2 linked regions of the Stegostoma tigrinum genome follow. The protein of the gene in region 2 purifies or fractionates together with the protein of the main gene of each other region. This does not show direct contact. Links are inferred from orthologs where the notes say so. Each region holds a gene or a part of one and is shown on either strand. Other genes may lie near its edges.

Evidence for each region. Proteins that work in one complex are often made in the same cells at the same time.
Region 1: the proteins of usp36 (region 2) and dhx33 purify together in Homo sapiens (affinity purification with mass spectrometry; 5 studies listed by BioGRID and IntAct, counting the BioPlex papers as one, with this or other methods). This does not show direct contact. The link is inferred for Stegostoma tigrinum from reciprocal best matches to the Homo sapiens genes USP36 and DHX33.

The regions. Positions count from the first base shown.
Region 1 is NC_081380.1:835,850-846,673, forward strand, and holds the start of dhx33 (ATP-dependent RNA helicase DHX33), read left to right. Parts: upstream 1-5,353; 5' UTR 5,354-5,405; coding exon 5,406-5,589; exon of another isoform or gene 5,590-5,639; coding exon of another isoform or gene 5,640-5,694; intron 5,695-10,332; coding exon 10,333-10,493; intron 10,494-10,824. UniProt on the Homo sapiens protein: Implicated in nucleolar organization, ribosome biogenesis, protein synthesis and cytoplasmic dsRNA sensing. Stimulates RNA polymerase I transcription of the 47S precursor rRNA.
Region 2 is NC_081375.1:16,692,357-16,703,180, forward strand, and holds the start of usp36 (ubiquitin carboxyl-terminal hydrolase 36), read right to left. Parts: upstream 5,083-10,824; 5' UTR 4,996-5,082; intron 1-4,995. UniProt on the Homo sapiens protein: Deubiquitinase essential for the regulation of nucleolar structure and function. Required for cell and organism viability.

The DNA of each region.
Region 1 (10,824 bases), on a different chromosome or scaffold from region 2:
TCCGGCAATTTCTATTTTTGTTCCTATTGGTATGTTCATTTGGAAGCTCACAGGGTCGATAAAGGCTGTTGATGTTTATAGTACCGTCATCGATGCCGGCGATCTGACCTTTTGTTCTTAAATAGCTACTCCAACAATTGAGTAGCTCAGTCAAATCATCTGTAGCGGGCAGGAACCCGTGCGTTCAATCCATGAACTGAAGACTGTAAACATCCTGACAGAAAAAGCATAACTCTACACTTCGCTGGAGTAAACTGACGATTGTCCTAACATTCCTTCCGAGCCCATAATTTATCAGCTCACTTCCTTACAACAAAGATAATGGGAACTGCATAGAACATAGAACATTACAGCATAGTACAGGCCCTTCGGCCCTCAATGTTGTGCCGACCTGTCATACCGATCTGAAGCCCATTTAACCTACACTATTCCATTTACGTCCATCTGCTTATCCATTACTTGCTGCACCTGCACGTTAAACTTTTTTTATATACATAAGAACACTAGATCCCTCTGCACTGCATATTTTTGCAATCTCTCCATAATTCAGTTGTATTCTGCCTTTTGATTCTTCCTCTCAAAGTGCATGGCCTTATTGGCTCCTAGATGAAATTCCGCCTGTCAAATTTTCACCCACACACTCATTGTACCTTTATACTCTCGCTGATTTCTTATGCCCTCATCGCAACATGCCCTCCCACCTATTTTTGTATCAGCAGCAAATCTGGAGAAATTACACTCTACCCCATCTTCCAAGTCATCAATTCAGATGCTGTATAATTGAGGCTCTAAGACTGATCATAGAGGGGAATTTTAAGGATGGTGATTAAAAACTCATGAGTGCCACAAGGATTAGACCTGAGGCCACGATTATTTACAATATTTCTTAACTACTCAAATGTTGTATGTAAAAGTACCCTCACCAAGTTTGTGTCTGATACAAAAATAGATAGGAAGGTAAATAGTGAGGATAAGAAAAGAAGTCCACAGAGGGGTACAGACAAGTTAAATGATGGGGTGAAAAACTAGGTAGATGGAACAAAATATGGCAAAATATAAGGTTATGAAATTTAGCAGGAAGAATAGATTATTAAAATAGGGAAATATTGCAAAAAACTGCAATGCAGAACATTCATGAATCACAAAAAAAACTAGCATTCCAGTTCAGCAGGAAATAGGAAAAGCAAAAGGAATGTCGGCCTTTAGTTCAAAGGAAATGGAGAATAAAAATTGGCAGCAAAGGCACTGATCAGATCACAGAAATTACTAGAAAAGCTCAGCAGGTCTGGCATGATCTATGGAGAGAAACCGCTGGAGAATTCCAAGATAATAAAATGTGAGGCTGGATGAACACAGCAGGCCAAGCAGCATCTCAGGAGCACAAAAGCTGACGTTTCGGGCCACCATCAGAGAGGGGGATGGGGAGAGGGAACTGGAATAAATAGGGAGAGAGGGGGAGGCGGACCGAAGATGGAGAGTAAAGAAGATAGGTGGAGAGAGTGTAGGTGGGGAGGTAGGGTGGGGATAGGTTAGTCCAGGGAAGACGGACAGGTCAAGGAGGTGGGATGAGGTTAGTAGGTAGATGGGGGTGCGGCTTGGGGTGGGAGGAAGGGATGGGTGAGAGGACGAACCGGTTAGGGAGGCAGAGACAGGTTGGACTGGTTTTGGGATGCAGTGGGTGGGGGGGGGAAGAGCTGGGCTGGTTGTGTGGTGCAGTGGGGGGAGGGGACGAACTGGGCTGGTTTAGGGATGCAGTAGGGGAAGGGGAGATTTTGAAACTGGTGAAGTCCACATTGATACCATATGGCTGCAGGGTTCCCAGGCGGAATATGAGTTGCTGTTCCTGCAACCTTCGGGTGGCATCATTGTGGCACTGCAGGAGGCCCATGATGGACATGTCATCTAAAGAATGGGAGGGGGAGTGGAAATGGTTTGCGACTGGGAGGTGCAGTTGTTTGTTGCGAACTGAGCAGAGGTGTTCTGCAAAGCGGTCCCCAAGCCTCCGCTTGGTTTCCCCAATGTAGAGGAAGCCGCACCGGGTACAGTGGATGCAGTATACCACATTGGCAGATGTGCAGGTGAACCTCTGCTTAATGTGGAATGTCATCTTGGGGCCTGGGATGGGGGTGAGGGAGGAGGTGTGGGGACAAGTGTAGCATTTCCTGCGGTTGCAGTTGAAGGTGCCCGGTGTGGTGGGGTTGGAGGGCAGTGTGGAGCGAACAAGGGAGTCACGGAGAGAGTGGTCTCTCCGGAAAGCTGACAGGGGAGGGGATGGAAAAATGTCTTGGGTGGTGGGGTCGGATTGTAAATGGCGGAAGTGTCGGAGGATAATGCGTTGTATCCGGACGTTGGGAGGGTGGTGTGTGAGAACGAGGGGGATCCTCTTGGGGCGGTTGTGGCGGGGGCGGGGTGTGAGGGATGTGTTGCGGGAAATACGGGAGACGCGGTCAATGGCGTTTTTGATCACTGTGGGGGGAAAGTTGCGGTCCTTGAAGAACTTGGACATCTGGGATGTGCGGGAGTGGAATGTCTTATCGTGGGAGCAGATGCGGCGGAGGCGGAGGAATTGGGAATAGGGGATGGAATTTTTGCAGGAGGGTGGGTGGGAGGAGGTGTATTCCAGGTAGCTGTGGGAGTCGGTGGGCTTGAAATGGACATCAGTTACAAGCTGGTTGCCTGAGATGGAGACTGAGAGGTCCAGGAAGGTGAGGGATGTGCTGGAGATGGCCCAGGTGAACTGAAGGTTGGGGTGGAAGGTGTTGGTGAAGTGGATGAACTGTTCGAGCTCCTCTGGGGAGCAAGAGGCGGCGCCGATACAGTCATCAATGTACCGGAGAAAGAGGTGGGGTTTGGGGCCTGTGTAGGTGCGGAAGAGGGACTGTTCCACGTAACCTACAAAGAGGCAGGCATAGCTGGGGTCCATGCGGGTGCCCATGGCCACCCCCTTAGTCTGTAGGAAGTGGGAGGAGTCAAAAGAGAAGTTGTTGAGTGTGAGGACGAGTTCAGCTAGGCGGATGAGAGTGCCGGTGGAGGGGGACTGGTCGGGCCTGCGGGACAGGAAGAAGCGGAGGGCCTTGAGGCCATCTCCATGCGGAATGCAGGTGTACAGGGACTGGACGTCCATGGTGAATATGAGGTGTTGGGGGCCAGGGAATTGGAAGTCCTGGAGTAGGTGGAGGGCGTGGGTGGTGTCACGGACGTAGGTGGGGAGTTCCTGGACCAAAGGGGAGAAATTGGAGTCCAGATAGGTGGAGATGAGTTTGGTGGGGCAGGAGCAGTCTGAGACGATGGGTCGACTAGGGCAGGCAGGTTTGTGGATTTTGGGAAGGAGATAGAAACGGGCCGTGCGGGGTTGGGGAATAATAAGGTTGGAGGCTGTGGGTGGGAGGTCCCCTGTGGTGATGAGGTCGTGAATGGTGTTGGAGATGATGGTTTGGTGCTCGGGTGTGGGGTCATGATTGAGGAGGCGGTAGGAGGTGGTGTCGGAGAGTTGGCGTCTGGCCTCGGCGATGTAGAGGTCAGTGCGCCATACTACCACTGCGCCACCCTTGTCTGCGGGTTTGATGGTGAGGTTTGGGTTGGAGCGGAGGGCTGCCCGTTCTGCGGGGGAGAGGTTGGAGTGGGTGAGAGGGGTGGAGAGGTTGAGGCGGTTAATGTCTCGACGGCAGTTGGAGATGAAGAGGTCGAGGGAGGGTAGGAGGCCTGGGGGTGGTGTCCAGGAGGCGGACTTGTGTTGGAAGCGGGTGAAGGGGTCAGTGGAAGGAGGGTTGGGTTCCCGGTTGAAGAAGTAGGCATGGAGGCGAAGACGGCGGAAAAACTGCTCTATGTCCAACCGTGACTGGTATTCGTTGATGTGTGGTTGTAGGGGGACAAAGGTGAGCCCCTTGCTAAGGACTGACCGTTCGTCCTCAGTCAGTGGGAGGTCTGGGGGGATGGTGAAGATGCGGCAGGGCTCAGTGTGGCTGTCTTCTCTGGGGTTGCTGGCTGTGGAGGTTGTGGGCGGAGCGATGAGGTTGTCGGCCATGGGCGGGGTTCCGTCAGCCGTGGGCGGGGTTCCGTCGGCTGTTGGAGGATCGGGGTGGGCGGCAGCAGCTGCGGTGAGGGTGGTGTGTGTGGTGTTGTACCTGGACGTGGAGGTGGTGACTGCAGCAGCGGTTCCGGAAGTTCTGTGGCCGGCGGAGGCGGATGTGACGTCATCGGTGGGGTCTCCGGCCGTGTCCTCATGGTCAATGGCGGCGGGTGCATGGTGGGGGAGGGGCAGGGACAGAGTCGGGATTTGGGAGGCGCAGGAATCCTCTAGTGGGTCGCAGGGGCCCGTGAGTTGGTTGTACTTACGATTTTTGGTGTCCAAACCGCAGGAAATGCTACACTTGTCCCCACACCTCCTCCCTCACCCCCATCCCAGGCCCCAAGATGACATTCCACATTAAGCAGAGGTTCACCTGCACATCTGCCAATGTGGTATACTGCATCCACTGTACCCGGTGCGGCTTCCTCTACATTGGGGAAACCAAGCGGAAGCTTGGGGACCGCTTTGCAGAACACCTCTGCTCAGTTCGCAACAAACAACTGCACCTCCCAGTCGCAAACCATTTCCACTCCCCCTCCCATTCTCTAGATGACATGTCCATCATGGGCCTCCTGCAGTGCCACAATGATGCCACCCAAAGGTTGCAGGAACAGCAACTCATATTCCACCTGGGAACCCTGCAGCCATATGGTATCAATGTGGACTTCACCAGTTTCAAAATCTCCCCTTCCCCTACTGCATCCCTAAACCTGCCGAGTTCGTCCCCTCCCCCCACTGCACCACACAACCAGCCCAGCTCTTCCCCCCCCACCCACCCACTGCATCCCAAAACCAGTCCAACCTGTCTCTGCCTCCCTAACCGGTTCTTCCTCTCACCCATCCCTTCCTCCCACCCCAAGCCGCACCCCCAGCTACCTACTAACCTCATCCCACCTCCTTGACCTGTCCGTCTTCCCTGGACTGACCTATCCCCTCCCTACCTCCCCACATATACTCTCTCCACCTATCTTCTTTACTCTCCATCTTCGGTCCGCCTCCCCCTCTCTCCCTATTTATTCCAGTTCCCTCCCCCCATCCCCCTCTCTGATGAAGGGTCTAGGCCCGAAACGTCAGCTTTTGTGCTCCTGAGATGCTGCTTGGCCTGCTGTGTTCATCCAGCCTCACATTTTATTACTTCCTTATAACAATCTTCCTCCCGAAAGTTGTGAAAATCCATCACCCATCATCGACTACAATTCCGGCAAGGATCAGGAATATCCGGTCGCACTCGGAAATATCCGGCCAGAATCGGCAATTTCCGGTCTACCTCGGGTATTTCCGCCAAGACCGGGCTAGCAGCATGGTGGATTCTGTGCAACCGTAGGTTCGGGTGCCAATGGAGAGTCGGCCTCCTCCAGCAAAGAAGTTCAAAACATCATTGTCCGTGTGTGCTCAAAGGCGGGACAATGCACTCTCGCGGGAGATGGAGATTGACCAACAGCGGAGAGAACTGCCCATCTATCGGGCTCGGGGAAAGCTCCTTGGACAACTGCGACAGCTGGACGCGGCGGTGATCATTGGTAACCACCGTCGGCCGGCCTAACCAAAACCTCCCCCAAGCTAAGAAACAATGGAGTGTGGAACTGGAGGAACACGGCATCATCAGGGGAACAGTGACTCGAAATGTGAGCTTTCCTGCTCCCCTGATGCCACCTGGCCTGCTGTGTTCCTCTAGCTCCACACTGCTGTTGTCTCTGTTTCTAGCAGCTCTTAAATTCTCCCCCCCCAAACTAACTCGACCACCACCACCCCCAGCCGAACCATCCCCCAAACTAATACCACCACCACCACCCCCAGCCGAACCATCCCCCAAACTAATACACCACCACCACCCCCAGCCGAACCACCCTCCAAACTAATACCACCACCACCTCCCCAGCCGAACCCCCCTCCCAGCTAACGCTACCACCACCACCTCCCCAGCCGAACCCCCCTCCCAGCTAACGCTACCACCACCACCTCCCCAGCCAAACCCCCCTCCCAGCTAACGCAACCACCACCACCTCCCCAGCCAAACTCCCCTCCCAGCTAACGCTACCACCACCACCTCCCCAGCCAAACCCCCCTCCCAGCTAACGCTACCACCACCACCTCCCCAGCCAAACCCCCCTCCCAGCTAACGCAACCACCACCACCTCCCCAGCCAAACCCCCCTCCCAGCTAACGCTACCACCACCACCTCCCCAGCCAAACCCCCCTCCCAGCTAACGCAACCACCACCACCTCCCCAGCCAAACCCCCCTCCCAGCTAACGCAACCACCACCACCTCCCCAGCCAAACCCCCCTCCCAGCTAACGCAACCACCACCACCTCCCCAGCCAAACTCCCCCTCCAAACTAATACCACCACCACCACCTCCCCAGCCAAACCATTCTCCAAACTAACTCTACCACCACCAGCACCAAGCCCCCACCAGAACCAACCCCATATTAACCCCAAACTGAACTAACCTTGACCTCAACACCCTCCCATGAAACTGGACTACTACTGCCTGAAACCACGCCCCAAAAGAACCCACACTAAAATCAACTCCAAAACTACTCTTGCTGTCCCCCAGCCTCATTAAAACCTTCCCTGAACTGACATCCACCAAATAATGCCCTCTGTAACCAGCTCTCCCCCTAACTAACCCTATCTGAAACCATCCCTGAAAACCTACCCCTCCAAACTGACCACCAAAAACTAGCCTGTCCAATCTAATTCTTCCTAAACTAACCACCCCTCAAACTAATCACCCTTTTAAACTGTTCTCCAAATTAGCACTACCACTTTGAAACCATCTCCTGCACCCTCAGCTTAATTAAACCCAACCCCTAAACTAATCTACTCTTGGAACTACCTCCCAAAGAAAGCCCTGCACAAATTCCCAGGAAAAAAAAATCCCTGAAAACCAACTCCCAAATCAATCTCTTCCCTAAAACCAACCCCAAACATACTTTTCTGAAGCCATCTCTCAATCTGACCCACCTGCAAATAAATCGTCGCTCCAAAGCCCCCACCCAAAATCATATCTTTTCCCCCCACCCCCAACAAATCTATACCCCAAACTGATCCCTTCCTGGGAACCACATCCTTCCAAAAGCACACCCAAACTGAAAACCCCTTCCCAAACTCTCCCCCCAAACAGACCTAGAGTTACTTGCTATCTCCTCTCTCCCATTTTGACTAGTGTCATATTAGCAGTTTTCCAATAGTCTGGTACTTCTGCAGAGCACAAAGATTTTTGGAAAATAACAACCCTGAAATGGCAAACTGATTGCTGTCCCACTGGCCTTCTGACTCACCCCACCCTTGATACTTACCTTGACCCCATAGACCCACATACTCACCCTGACCACCCCGACACTCTCAGGATTGTGGGATGCCAACATCACACTGACTGCACCAGTATGTGGCGAATTACAACACCATTCGGTGACTGTAGCCTCATCCTGTGAGGAAAGGGGGACTGAATGAAAATTTGTCAGAGGTGTTTGCTTTTCAGTGAGATATTAAAACCAAGTTCTAGCTTCTAACATAACAGGTCCCTGACAGAGTAATGCAGGAAAGTTGGAATTTTTTCTGAGTCTGATCAATATTTGACTCCTAACCAATACCAATGAAATGAGAAATAAAACCCTAAAATGTTGGAACTCCCCAGCAGGTTAGGCAATATCTGTGGCTACAGAAGAATACACTTACAAAATAAGATTGCTTAATTTTGTCATTGTTACTTGTGTGGAAATAGGATTCACATTTACCTACAAACTAGTAGTGATAATCTTCAAAAATAATCGGCGGCAGAGTGCTGAGAAATGTATAAATCAGTGCAAGTTTGACCTGTTTCTGGTGTTCCAAGTTCTACAAGGTGGCAATTCCACTGGGTAGTAATTTGCACAGTATATTTTTGTGGAAAGTTGAGGTACATTTCAATATGACCTTGAAAGCAGCAGAATTTACCTCATCAAACATTGAAAAGATAATAGTCAGCTACTTCTTTCTGAAGTAATGCCATTTCATTAAAGAAGGTATACTGTTTTAGTAATTGTAAGTGGACTTTGAGATTGTTTGCAACCCAACTTCTGAGTTAATATTGCTTGACTTTGATTATTAAATTGAGTGGCACTATCTTTGCAACCAAAACAACATCTGTTCACTACATGCATCCCTTAAACATAGGGGCAGCTGGTAAATGATTGGATGGTGAAACTCTTATTAATAAATGTGTGTAATTATGAGGTATGACCATGATTGTGCTGAGGCTATACAAGTACGTAATTCACTTTAGTGCAGTCTGATTAAACCCTGTTTAACTTTAGTAGAAGTAACTTGCCTGTGTTAACATAAGAACTAGGAGCTGGAGTGGTTCATTCGGCTCCACAAGCCTGCTTCGTTTAATACGATCATGGCTGATCTCATCTTGGCTTCAACTCCACATTCCTGCCTGCTCTCCATGACCCTTCAACCTCTTATTAATTTAAGATCCATCTGTCTCCTCCTTTTTAAATTTGCTTAAAGTCAGAGCATCCACCGTACTCTGGGACGGCAAATTCCACAAATCAGCAACCCTTTTGAGAGAAGTAATTTCTCCTAATCTCTTCTAAAACTGCTATCCCTTATTCTAAGACAATTGCTTTTCATTCTAGATTGCCCTACAGGGGGAAACATCCTCTCTATGACTACTTTGTCAATCCCATTTCGCATCTTATATCCCTAAATCAGATCTCCTCTCATTCTTCTGACCTTCACAGAGGAATTGCTTAAATTGCTCAATCTTTCTTCACCTTTTGATTTAATCCCATGGACCTCCTCTGAACTGCTTCCAATGCAACTAAATCTCTCCTTGGGTAAGGGAACCAAAATTGTATGCAGTACTGCAGGGGCACTCTCACTAATGCCTCATATAGTTGCAGTAACACTTAATTTTTGCAGGTAAATTTTTGTTAAGCAAATGTATTAAGAGATGTAGAGAAAGGCCACACAGATCAGCTTTGATTTCAATGAATGGTAGATCAGGCTGGAGGGCTGAAAGGTTACAGGAATAAGCCATCCTTGTGTATGTTTATACTCTTCATTGAGCAATAAATGGCAAAATTCCATTGCCTTCCCCCCCCCACTCCCCCCGGCACCATTACCTGCTGTACCTGCAAACTAGCTTTTTGTAATTCATGCACAACAGCATCCAGATCCATCTGCACTGAACTACTCCGAGGTTCCTCTTGATTTAGATAATAATTTGCCTTTCTATTCCTCTGATGAAATAGATAGCCTTATGTTTATCCATGTTAAACTTCATTTGCCAAAATTTGGCCGATTCATCTAACCTGTCCATATCCATTTGTAAATTTCTTATTTCTGCATCAGTACTTACATTTCCACCTGTTTTAGTGTCGTTTGCAAGTTTGGCTATAGTGCTTTCTGTCCCTGCACCAAGTCATTAATATTGATTGTCAGGCCCCAACTACTTACAATCCGGCACCCTAGTAAATCTGTGTTGTGACCTAAAAGATCAATATATCCTGAGTATGTGTATAACATAGTGACCATGTCACTCAACCACTAACTCAGAACCCCAGACTGGAGACGTGTTCATTAAAACAAAATTGGAAAATAAATGTAGCCGTTATTGATTGTCTCAAAAACACATCTGGCTCATGAATCACCTTTGGGGAAGGAAACTTTACCTTGTCTGGCTTACATGTGACTCCAGATGCTTCCTGTGGTAATGTAGTTGACTTTTAACTGCACTTTGAACAATTGGAATGTGCAAACAAAGCTGATCTTGCTGCTGACTTCCAAAATCCATGGACATATAAAACCAAAAGCTTTTATGATAAACAGCCTGCATGGGTTTCCTCTGGGTCCTCTGGTTTCCTCCCACACTCCAAAGATGTGCAGGCTAGATGGATGGGCCATGCTGAATTGCCCATAGTGTTCAGGGACGTGTAGATTAGGTGGATCATGGAGAATGCATCTAGGTTGGATGCTGAGGGTCAGTGTGGACTTGTTGAGCCAAAGGGCCTGTTTCCACACTAGGGATTCTGAAGCCTACGAATACGTGAATATTTCTTTTAAATGTCTTGATGATTTCAGTACAGCATTCTTGAGCATTCCTTTCTTAGGATCTGGATTCCAATCTATACCATTATGATGAAGGACCACTCAAGGTATTAGTTGTGAGGGTTTTGAAAGAGATCAATTTAAAAGCCTTGGCCGGGCACAAAGCCCAGATGAGGGGACAACTTGCTAAACCTGGCTCATGTTACGATGTTTTTAATTCAAGGTGAGACAGGTTCGGGGAAGACGACACAGATTCCACAGTATCTGTATGAAGCCACCATCGGGCGACAGGGTATCATTGGCGTCACACAGCCCCGACGTGTGGCAGCAATATCACTTGCAGCTCGTGTCTCAGAAGAAAAGAAAACAGAGTTAGGCACGTTGGTAAGATTTTATTTTAACGCTTCTTGTAGTGTCAGCGACAAGGCCAGCATTTGTTGCTTATCCCTGGTTGCTTTTAATATGTAACTTCTAAGAACAAAATAAATAGGAAGAAGAATAGGTTTTTCAGCCCATTGCGCTAGCTCCACCATTCTAGGTCATTGTTGATCATCTCATTAATGAATGTAGCTGGCATTTGACTGCCTTTGCCTAAACTTCATGCTTTCCAAAAGTTGGAGCATTTTCTTGAGCCTGTCATCATGGGTGTAATTATTTGGAACTGAAATAAGTGGCTCATTTAAATAATGCACTATTCCCTGAATTTCTTGCAAAC
Region 2 (10,824 bases):
GCTCCGGTTTCCGCCCACAGTCCAAAGATGTGCAGGCTTGGTGGATCGGCCATGCTAAATTGCCCGTAGTGTTCAGGAGTGTGTGCGTTATAGGGGGATGGGTTTGGTTGGGATGCTCTGAGGATCAGTGTGGACTTGTTAGGCCGAAGGGCCTGTTTCCACACTGTAGGGCATCTAATCTAATTTAAATATTCCAGAGAATTTGATTATCTGTAAAGGAAGAACATGAACAGCAATTAGAAAATGGCCTGGGAGTGGCAGTAAGCTCCTTCAGAGAGCGAACACAGTCATGGCAGGCCAAATGGCTTCCTTCTGAGCTATAAGCAGTGACTGGTAAGAGATGAAGCTTAATGCTTGCTGTGGCTGTAAGCGCATGCTAAAATTGAGAAGTCTGATTCATCACAGAGAGTGGGAAAACAAGATGGTGTAGTTAGTGGTAAAGAAGAAGAGTTTGTGCAAAGTGCCACTGACAACGTTTTCAATTGCGTATATATTTGAAAAGAAAAGATGTGCAGGGTTATGGAGAATGTAACCGTTGAGAAAATGGAAGTAATTTGATGGCTTTGTCAATGCACCAGCTTAATGAGCCGTACTGTCCTAACATAAACCAATGCTTTCTTCATTTAGCACCTTCAATGTAATAAAATATCCCAAGACATTCACAGGGAATGTCAATATGATATAAAATACAGCCTATTGATCTTTAATCCCATTGGCCAACTTAATACCTGGGAATTTGATGGCCTGAAATACTAATGTAAGATGACGACAGGGATTGCCTGACCCACACACATTGCCCAAATTTAATAAAACTGATATTGATTAGATCAAGAGCAGTCTGAGCTGAAATTAGCATTTCTGCCAAGCATTAACACTGGTCAGTTCATACCATTGTGAGAATCTTCACACGTTTTGGAGACGGAGCCTACAATTGTCAAGAATGAAAAACACAATTTCAGGGGACATGAAATCTACACAAACACTGCTATTTTAAGGAGCTCTTTTATGGCAGACCAGAAATGATGGAACTAACGTACAACACTAAACATAACAAAGGCAGAGAAAGCTCTATCTCAACAAGAAATGTGTCCTATGGCAGGGCTGATTAGAAAGAAATATCAAAAAACCTAGAACTTAAAACTGTTATATTCATTGCTGCTGATAATCCAAGAAACCTGTTAACTGGCTATTATAAACACAGAAATTGCTGGTGAAATCTTTATTCATTAATGGGATGACAGCATCGCTGGCCAGGCAGCATTAATTGCCCATCCCTAATTGCCCAGAGGGCAATTCAGAGTCAACAACATTGCTGTGGGTCTGGAGTCACATGTAGGCTAGACCAGGTAAGGATGGCAGTTTCCTTTCCTGAAGGACGTTAGTGAACCAGATGGGTTTTTCCAACAATTGACAATGGATTCATGATCAACATTAGATTCTTAATTCCAGATATTTTATTAAATTCAAATTTCACATGGCAGGATTTGAACCCAGGTCCCCAGAATGTTATCTGGGTTTCTGGAATAACAGTCCAACGGTAATACCACTAGACCATTGTCTCCCCTAAAACTACAGTTGGCCCGTACAGGAAGTGAACTCACGACCTTGGTGTTATTAGCACCATGCTCTAATTGGCTGAGCTAACCGGCCACGTGCAGCAGGTCTGGCAGCATCTGGGAGAAGAAAGGACAGTTAAGGTTTCAAATCTGATGACGAGAACGGTTAGCAGCTGGGAAAAAGTGTTGAAGTTGGTGGTGGAGGAGACAATGAGCGGACGGGCAGAAATGCAGCTCACACACAGAAAGATATGAAAGGAGTAGATAAACAAGGAGGAGATTTTGGATAGCCAACCAGGACAGAAGAAAAGCTGAACCAGTAATAATAAGAGCTAAGAGGATGACAGAGTTGGTGAGCTGCACTGAAAGCAACCCATACAACGTGTTAATTGGCCTAGGAGTAGGTGAGAACAGGTGACTGTGCTAAAAGCACCATGTCATAACGGAACTGGGTGTGGGGTGGGCAAAGAACATGGAAGGATGAAATCAGGTTCTGAAGTTAGAGTCCTGAAGGCTGCAGGGTCCCCCAAGTAGAAAATAAGATGCTGTTCTTCCAGCCTGCTGGAGCACTGCGGCAAGCCTGATACAGAGATGTTGGCCAAGGAACGCGGTGGTGTGTTTAAGTTACAGTCAACTGGAAACTGGACAGAAGGTATGTGTCCTGCAAAGCAGTCACCCAAATGTGTTTCATTTCCCAAATATAGAGGAGACAATATTGTGAGCAGCAAACAGACTAGGTTGAGTCAAGTACAGTACTTCACCTAGGTGTGTCTGGGTCCTTGGATCCTGAGGAGGTAAACAGCTAAGTATCACAGCCTTTGCACTTGCATGGGAAGGTGCTTTGGGGGTGTGTGGAAATGTTTGGGAATGGAGGAGGAGTGAACCAAGGTATCCTGGCGGGAATGGTCCCTGCAGAAGAGAGGAGGGGAATTTGCACATGGTTGTGACATTCTACTGGAGGTAACGGAAATGGCAGCTTACAATCCTTTGGATGTGAAAACTGGTGGGCTGGTAAGTGAGGATCAGGGAGATCCTATCCTTGCTGTGGTGGAGAAAGGAAAGGGTGAGGGCAGAAGTGCAGGAGAAAGGTTAAAGATCCTGTTGACCACAGCAGCAGGAAATCCTCAGTTGAGGAAAAAGGTGGGCATTTCTGAGAGCGAAAGTGGCATCATCAGAAAAGATGTGATTGAGATGGAGGACATAGGAGAATGCATCTGTAGTGTTTTTGTTTTATATAACTGACAGTGATCTCAGATAAAACCTTATGGTCAGGGACTCCCAAAGGACTCTAAACTATTTATGTCTAATCTTCCTTTGAATTGAACACCATCTCTTTCTAACTTCTATGTGTGTGCGTGTGTGTTAGGCCCCAAGTAACTTTGTGCGAAGGCTATATGTTATTGAAACATACAAGATTCTTAGGGGACTTCACACGGTATATTCAGAAAGGTTGTTTCCCCTTATGGGACAGTCTAGGCCCAGAGGGCTTAATCTCAAAGTAAGACAGAGATGAGGAAGATTTTCTTCTTTCAGAAGGCAGTGAATCTGTGGAATTCTTTATGACACAGGGCTTTCATGGTTGGATCTTGAAGTACGTTCAAGGCTGCGAGAGGCAGATTTTTAATCAAGAAAAAAATCAAAGATGATGAGGCAGAGGCAGGAAAGAAGAGTTGCCATCATCTGCTTGAATAGTAGGGTAGACTCGATGGGCTGAATAGCCAACACCTGCTATGTCAAAGAGAGTCGTAGAGTCTTACAGCATGGAAATAGATCCTTTATTCCAACAAGTCCATGCCAACCATGTTGCCAAATTCAACTAGTCCCACTTGCCTGCATTTGGCCCATATCCCTCCAAATCTTTCTTGTTCGTATACTTAGCCAAATGTTTTTAAATGCTGTAACTGTACCTACACCCCCACTTCCTCTGGCACTTCATTCCACACCCAAACCTATCTGTGTAAAAAGGTTGCCTCTCAGTAAGCACTTTTAAAACTTTCTCCTCTCACCTCAAAAATATGCCCCCTAGTGTGGAATTCCCCCATCCTAGGGAAAAGACCCACGCTACTCACCTTATCCAAGTCCCTTATGACTATAAACCTCCCTAAGGTCACCCCTCAATCTTCTGTGCGCCAATGAAAGAAGTCCCAAGCTCTCCAGCCTATTTTTAATACTCAAACCCTCCAGTCCCAGCAACATCTTAGTAAACCTTTTCTGAACCCTCTCCGGTTTAATAGTACCCTTCCAATAGCACGATGACCAGAACTGCACACATTATTCCAGAAGAGGCCTCACCAACGTCCTGTACAATCTCAACATGATGTCCTGGCTCCTATACTCAAATTCTATAGGTGTGAGGCGGGAAAAGCACAGCAGATCAGACAGCATCCGAGGAGCAGGCAAGTCAATGTTTCGGGCCGAAATGCTGACTTTCTTGCTCCTCATTTGATGACTGATCTGCTGCGCTTTTCCAGCCTGACACCTACAGACTCTGGCTTCCAGCATCTGCAGTCCTTCCTCACTGAGTAAGGGAGGCAACGGTCTGAGCAATGAAGGCAAGCATGCCAAATGCCTTCTTAACTATTCTGTCTACCTGTAATGCAAATTTCAAAGAATTACATACCTGAACCCTGGGTACTACAACGTTACCGATAGCCCTACCACTAATTGTAAAAGTCCTGTCATTGTGTGTTTTACCAAAATGCAATAGCTCACATTTATCCAAATTAAACTCCATCTGCCACTCCTCAGCCCATTGATCACAATCATTTTGCCATCTTAAATAACCTTCTTCACTGTACCACTAATTTTGGTGTCATCTGCAAAGTTACTAACCATGGTCTTCTGGGAGCAATTTAGCAGATGGAGTGGATTTACTTTAGTCAAAATCAAGCAAATGTATTTCTAGCCATCCTGATTATTCCCAAAAAGTTAGTCTTTATATAACAGGTAGCTAGAAACAGTCCTGACAGCAGATCAACACCTTATTGTTTTTAACAGATGTGTTGAACTTTTCAGCAAAAGAAAACTCTGGAAATACTCAGCATATTGCAGTATTCCAAAAGTTCAATGAATCAATATTCAAGACCAGAGGAAGGGTCTTAAACTTGAAACAAAGCCTGACGACCAACTTCTGTTTACTCAGGAATGCAATTCCAATTTCCCCGTTTCTGTTAACCGATTTACACAATTTGCAGTGTTTGTTACTTATTTGTATTATGTGGCCAGGTCTCTGGGGATCGAATTTAATTTGACATTCGCAGGTTTAAAAATCAGCAGGGAACCGACCAGCTGGAAGAAAACGAGGAAACAGAACGGAAAGATCTGAAGTATAATCATTAATTTAATCTCGGGACAACAAATCAGACAAGTTTGTTCCCACAACTTCCACTGTTTCAGAACGAGCAGGGTAACTTTGTGAAGAGTCGGTTAAAAAAATTACCTGATACTTTTCAATTTCTCGACATCACCAGCGGAATGAACAAATGCAATCAGTGAAAAACTCTTCACACACAGCAAAGCAAACCAGCGACTCAGCCTGTCACATGGGAGGAATTATCCAATCTGAACTAAATATTAGGAGAAGCAAACTGTTACATCGCCACCTTCCTTGGATATGCAGGAGGGAGGACTCAATGCCGCTCTGAGCAAAAAAAACCCCAGCAAAATGCAAATAAATGTCAGGCACCAGAGTCCAGCAAGTTCTGAGGAAGGGTCACAGGACCCGAAACGTTCACTCTATTTTCTCCTCCACAGATGCTGCCAGACCTGCTGAGCTTTCCCAGCAACTTTGTTTTTGTTTCAGCAAATTATTGTTGTACAAGCAGGAACTGGCCACGTGCATTTTTAGATGTATTAAAGATGTGTGAGTATAAAAAGTACTTCAAATTGTAATTCTGTGTTTAATCGTCAAACGAAGTTGAAATGGTTTTTGACATCTCTGGGTGCACCACATAATTGTAGCAAAAAGTGTACCCTGGAAGGAATTAGAGAAAATCTAGAATGCACAACTGTCAAATCACCTTCAATAACTGGTGAATCATATGGAGAACATTTCCCTGTTGTATACTTGCTTTGCTTTAGCTTTTTTGGGAGGATGAAAATCATCGTTGAATGATTACTATAGCACTGAGAGAGGTCATTCAACCAGTCATGTTCACGTCAGTTCTCAGCAAGAGCAAGACAGCTAGACCACTTCACGACCCCTTCCCCATAATTTGCAACTTCTTTTTCTCTTCAGGCCCTCACCCATGGATTAAGAATTGGTTTGCAAACACAGTCGGCTGGGATTAAAACAGAGTTGCTGGAAAAGCTCAACAGGTCTGGCAGCATCTGTGAAGGAGAAAACAGAGTTAATGTTTGTGTCCGGTGACCCTTCCTCAGGAACTGATAATGAATGGTATCCTTGAGTTACTGTGCCAGGACCTCCTGACTGAAAGCTGTCTACCTTGGCCTAACTGAGAAATACTCCTTCCATACTTTGAGACTTGGCTGTTTAGTTGAACCAATTTCAGTGAGTTTGCTGCATAAGGTACTGGCAAATGGTGCAGGTATCAGATGAACAACATGTTCATTCCTTTGATTGATCCCTTCTGACAATGAGATCAAGCTTTTTTTTCTGATGAAGGGTCTAGGCCTGAAACGTCAGCTTTTGTGCTCCTAGTATGCTGCTTGGCCTGCTGTGTTCATCCAGCTGCACACTTTGTTATCTTTAATGAGATCAAGCTGTCTGCTTTTACCTCCCCTCCAGGGAGCAGAGTGTACAGTATCAAATGTGCTGACGATATATGTTGTAAACAGAAGCATAGAATCGCCACAGTGTGTGGAAGCAGGGCATTTGGTCTGCTGAGTCCACAACGACCCTCCGAAGAACATCCTACCCTATCCCTGTAACCCTGCATTTCTCTCGGCTAAACACCTAATTTAACATCTTTGGACTGTAGGAGAAAACTGGAGCACCCAGAGGAAATCCATGCAGACCCGGGGAGAATGTGCAAACTCCACACAGACCCGAGGGTGGAATTATACCCGGGACCATGGTGCTGTGAGGCAGCAGTGAGCTATCAAGTCACCGCGCTGCCCATACGTGTACAGTATAACACATGTATACAAAGCATTTCCTATTGACAACATTGCTCCTTTTGGTATTCACCTTCTATCAGTGTCCTCGGTCTCTTGGCTCTTCTCTGTTCGCACTGTCTAGACTCCTCATGACTTTGAATACTATCAAATCTCCCCTCTTTAAGGAGAACAACCTCAGTTTCTCTCTTCGATCTATTTAACTGTACTTATACCTGGAACCAACATTTGTGCAACTTCTTGGCACTGGCTCACATCCTTCACACTGCCCAATATTAGACATATTGGTTTGAATTCTTCCTGCTCCCAAATGACATGGGCATTAATGAGTCAGTTGGGAAAACATTGAAATTGGCAGAAATTACACTCTCATTGACAAAAGGAAAAAAGTCAGGTCAACCAATCTTTGAATGGCGAGACAGGAATGTCATTGGTGAGCCACGAGAGATCTATTTTGCACATGCTACATGTCTTTTTACCTAATCTCTCCTCATTGATATGCAGTTTGCCATTCTCCCAGCTAGTGGATAGAAACTAGATGCCAAGAGTTTCTAACATTAAAGTCAGAGAGGGTATCTGGTGGCTCCAGCTCATTGCTTGCTTTTCCAAACCTTTACCTTGATCAACAGTACAGAACATTTTAGGCTTGCTCCATTGACAACAACAGCACGGGCCTTGGCATGGACACATACCAGACTCACTGCACCCTCATGAAATATCTCCAAAACACTTACAACTGCTCTTCAATGCCCCATTTTGGAGTGTACTGGCACTTATCACTGTAACAATACTGCCAAGATAATTTGCCTGCAGGGATTAGCACCTAGTTGGACTAGGGTGTACCTCAGGGCTGTTTGCTTGGGTCTTTTAGTGCTCACTCACTTTGTGCTTTCTTCAATACTCACAGAGCCTATGCCTTGCCTTTTTGCGATGTGCCCTATCAGCTAGAGCTTAGAGGCTCGTCAAACTTTTCTCACCTTGCTTCACAGACACAAAACTAGGTAGCTTGACTTCATTGTCAGAAGTGATCAGTCAAAGGAATGAACATGTTGCCACACAGTGTTAGGCTATGTTCATCTGATACCTGCACCATTTGCTAGTACCTTATGCGGCAAACTCACTGAAATTTGTTCAACCAAACAGCCAAGTCTCAAAGTATGAGGGACTGTTTCTCAGTCAGGCCAAGGAAGATAGCCTTCAGTCAGGAGGTCCTGGCACAGTAAGTCAAGGACATCATTCATTATCAGTCGAGTGGCTTGGACATGGCCAGCCAGGAACTTGCGATGGTCAGACTCAGTGAGCCGATAGTCTGAAGACCAGGAAGTGCACGACAGTCAGACTTGCAGGTTCAGTGCAAAAAGTCTGGGGACTCTGAGTAAGTCAGTCGGGAGCTGTACAGAGATCAGTCAGGGATCTGGTCAGTCTTCAGTTTTGGGCGGTCAGCTCGCTTATAGTCAACAGGGTTTATCAGGGGCACCGGCTACGGAAGGGATGCTGGAGAAGTCAATTCTGGGCATTGGAGGCAGCATGCTGGAATACAGAGGGGACAATAATGGACAAGATGGGAAACTCAATTTGTAAGCAGGAGGGACATAATAGTGCATTAAAAAAAAAGGTTACTGTGGCAAGCAGGGTGGTAGAGGTGGGATGTAATGTCAATAGTCACAAACATCCGGTTTTCAGTGCAGACAGGGCAGCATGATTGTTGCCATGCTTGAGCTGCAGGCTACACCCAGCAACTATGCCCGATTAAGTTGAAGTAAAGGCAACACCAGTTACTACAACCTGAGAAAGTAGTTATATTTGTTCGCTATTATATCTGTGTAAATCCATACCAATGTTCATCTGCTTTGCTGCAATTTCTGTTTAGCCATTAGAGCTGCCAGTGAAAAAGTTGATGCATGTTTAATTTTCCAAAACATATTCAATTTATAGCTAATGTAACTTCTTTATTCAAAAAGAGAGTGAGGCAGAAAGCAAGCCAGTTAACATATATCACAGGGAAAATATTAAAAATCACTGTTATAAAGATAACTTATCCAAGGTAATCAGACAGAGGCAACATGGTTTTGACTGGTTTGCTAGCCGGAAGCAGAGAGTAGAAATTTGTGAGTCTCTTTCAGGCTGAAAGGATGTTATGAGCAGTGTACAGTAGAGGTCAATGCTGGAGCCTCAACTCTTTACAATTGACGGAAATGCTTTGGATGAAGGGATCGAAGGTGTGGCACCTAAATTTTCTAATGACACAAAGATAGTAGGAAATTGAGTTTGGAAGAGGATACGAGGAGCCTGCAAAGGGATATAGACAGATAAGTGGGTGGTCAAGGATATGGCAAATGGAGTACAATTGGAAAATGGCTGAAATGGTCCACTTTTGCAGAAAGGATAAAAAATAATCTAAATAATCTAAACGGTGAGAGCTGAAGAGCTCTGAAATGCAGAGAGATCTCAGTGTTCTAGTGCATGAATCACAAAGTTATTTTTCAGATACAACAAGTAATCAGGAAATTAACAGAATGTTACGCTTTATTCAAGATGAGCGAGGTTATACTTCAGTTGTAGAGGCCATTGGTGACCCTACAGCTGGCAGACTGTTTTCAGTACTGGTCATTCTACTTAGCGAAGGTTGATAAAGCATTGGGAGCAGTTGAGAGAACATTCGCTAAACTAATACCTGGAATGTTACAGGATAGGCCTGTATCCACTTGAGTTTAGAAGACTCAGAGGTGACTAAATTGAAACAGATAAAATCCTAAGGGGACTTGACCAGATAGATGTTGAAAGCATATTTCCCTTGTGGAGAATCTCGAACAAGAGGTCATAGGTTAAAAATAAGAGGGTACCCATTTAAAACAGAGATAAGGAAACATGTTTTCTCTGAGTTTTTGGAATCCACCTCATCAAAAAGGCAGTAGATGTAGAACCTTTAAACATGTTTGTAGCAGAGGAAGATAACTGCTTGATGGCTCACGGGATGAATGATTATCCGAGATATGCCGGAATGTTGAGTTGAGGTTAAAATCAGATCAGCCATGATCTTATTGAATAGCAGAGCTGGCTTGATGGGCCAACTGGCCTATTTTTGTTTGTAGTTGCGCTGAGTTTGGAAGTAGCTACTGAAGGAACTTTGGTGAATTTCTGCATTGCATTTTGTAAATAGCACACACTGCATTGGATAAACATATGAATAATAATGGAATAGTGTAGGTTAGATGGGCTTCAGTTTGGTTCACAGGTCGGCGCAACATCGAGGGCTGAAGGGCCTTTACTGCACTGTAGTGTCTGCGTTTTGTGTTCTATGCTGCTACGGACCATCAGCACTAGAGGGAAGTGAATGCTTGAAGGTAGTGGATGTATTGCCAGTCAAGTGAATTGGTTTGTTCTGGACAGTGTCAAGCTTCTTGAATGTTGCTGGATCTGTAGCTATCCAGACAAATGGGGAGTATTCACTGCAAATCTGACTTGTGCGTTGTAGATAGTTGACAGGTCTTGGGGGGGTTAGGGCGTGGTTTATTTACTGCAGGATTCTGAGCTTCCACTCTACTCTTGTAGCCTTTCCATTTATATGGCTTGTATAGTTCAGTTTCTGTTTAACGGTAACCCGAAGAATGTTGACAGTTGGGAGTTCGTCAATGGCGTTTCCATCGCTCCTCAAAAGGTGTTGATCAGATTCTCTCTTATTGGAGGTAGTCATTCCCTGTCACTTGTATTGTTTAACATTGTACATGCTTCTTTTTCCCCCTCTTTGGTGTAAGAAATCTTTATTTATTTTAAATGTTCATTGACAGAGTCTTGTGAATGTTTGCTGATTGAGCTCCATCAAGCAAACAAAAATAAAACTTGTGATCTATCAAGTAAATTCCCACTCTGGCTTGTCCAATCTACTTGTTCAGTATTAACAGCTGGGATAATGGTAACAGCGCTTTTGAAAGATTACAGTAGATCCCTAACTCCAGGACAGGAGGAGGAAAATTGCATTCAACCACCATTCTGCAGCAATAGTCACTGGCTTTGGTACAACTGCTTTGGCATCAGGCTTGATAGAATTAAGCTTGCATATGATGCTGAGTAGTTTGTAATGAAGGAATAACTATGGAGAGGTTCAACTCATGGAAGCACCATTTGTAGACTCCTTCCTGCCTGAGGCGTCGCAGCAAAGTTAATGGGAGGGGTAGAACACTGGGTGGGTTGG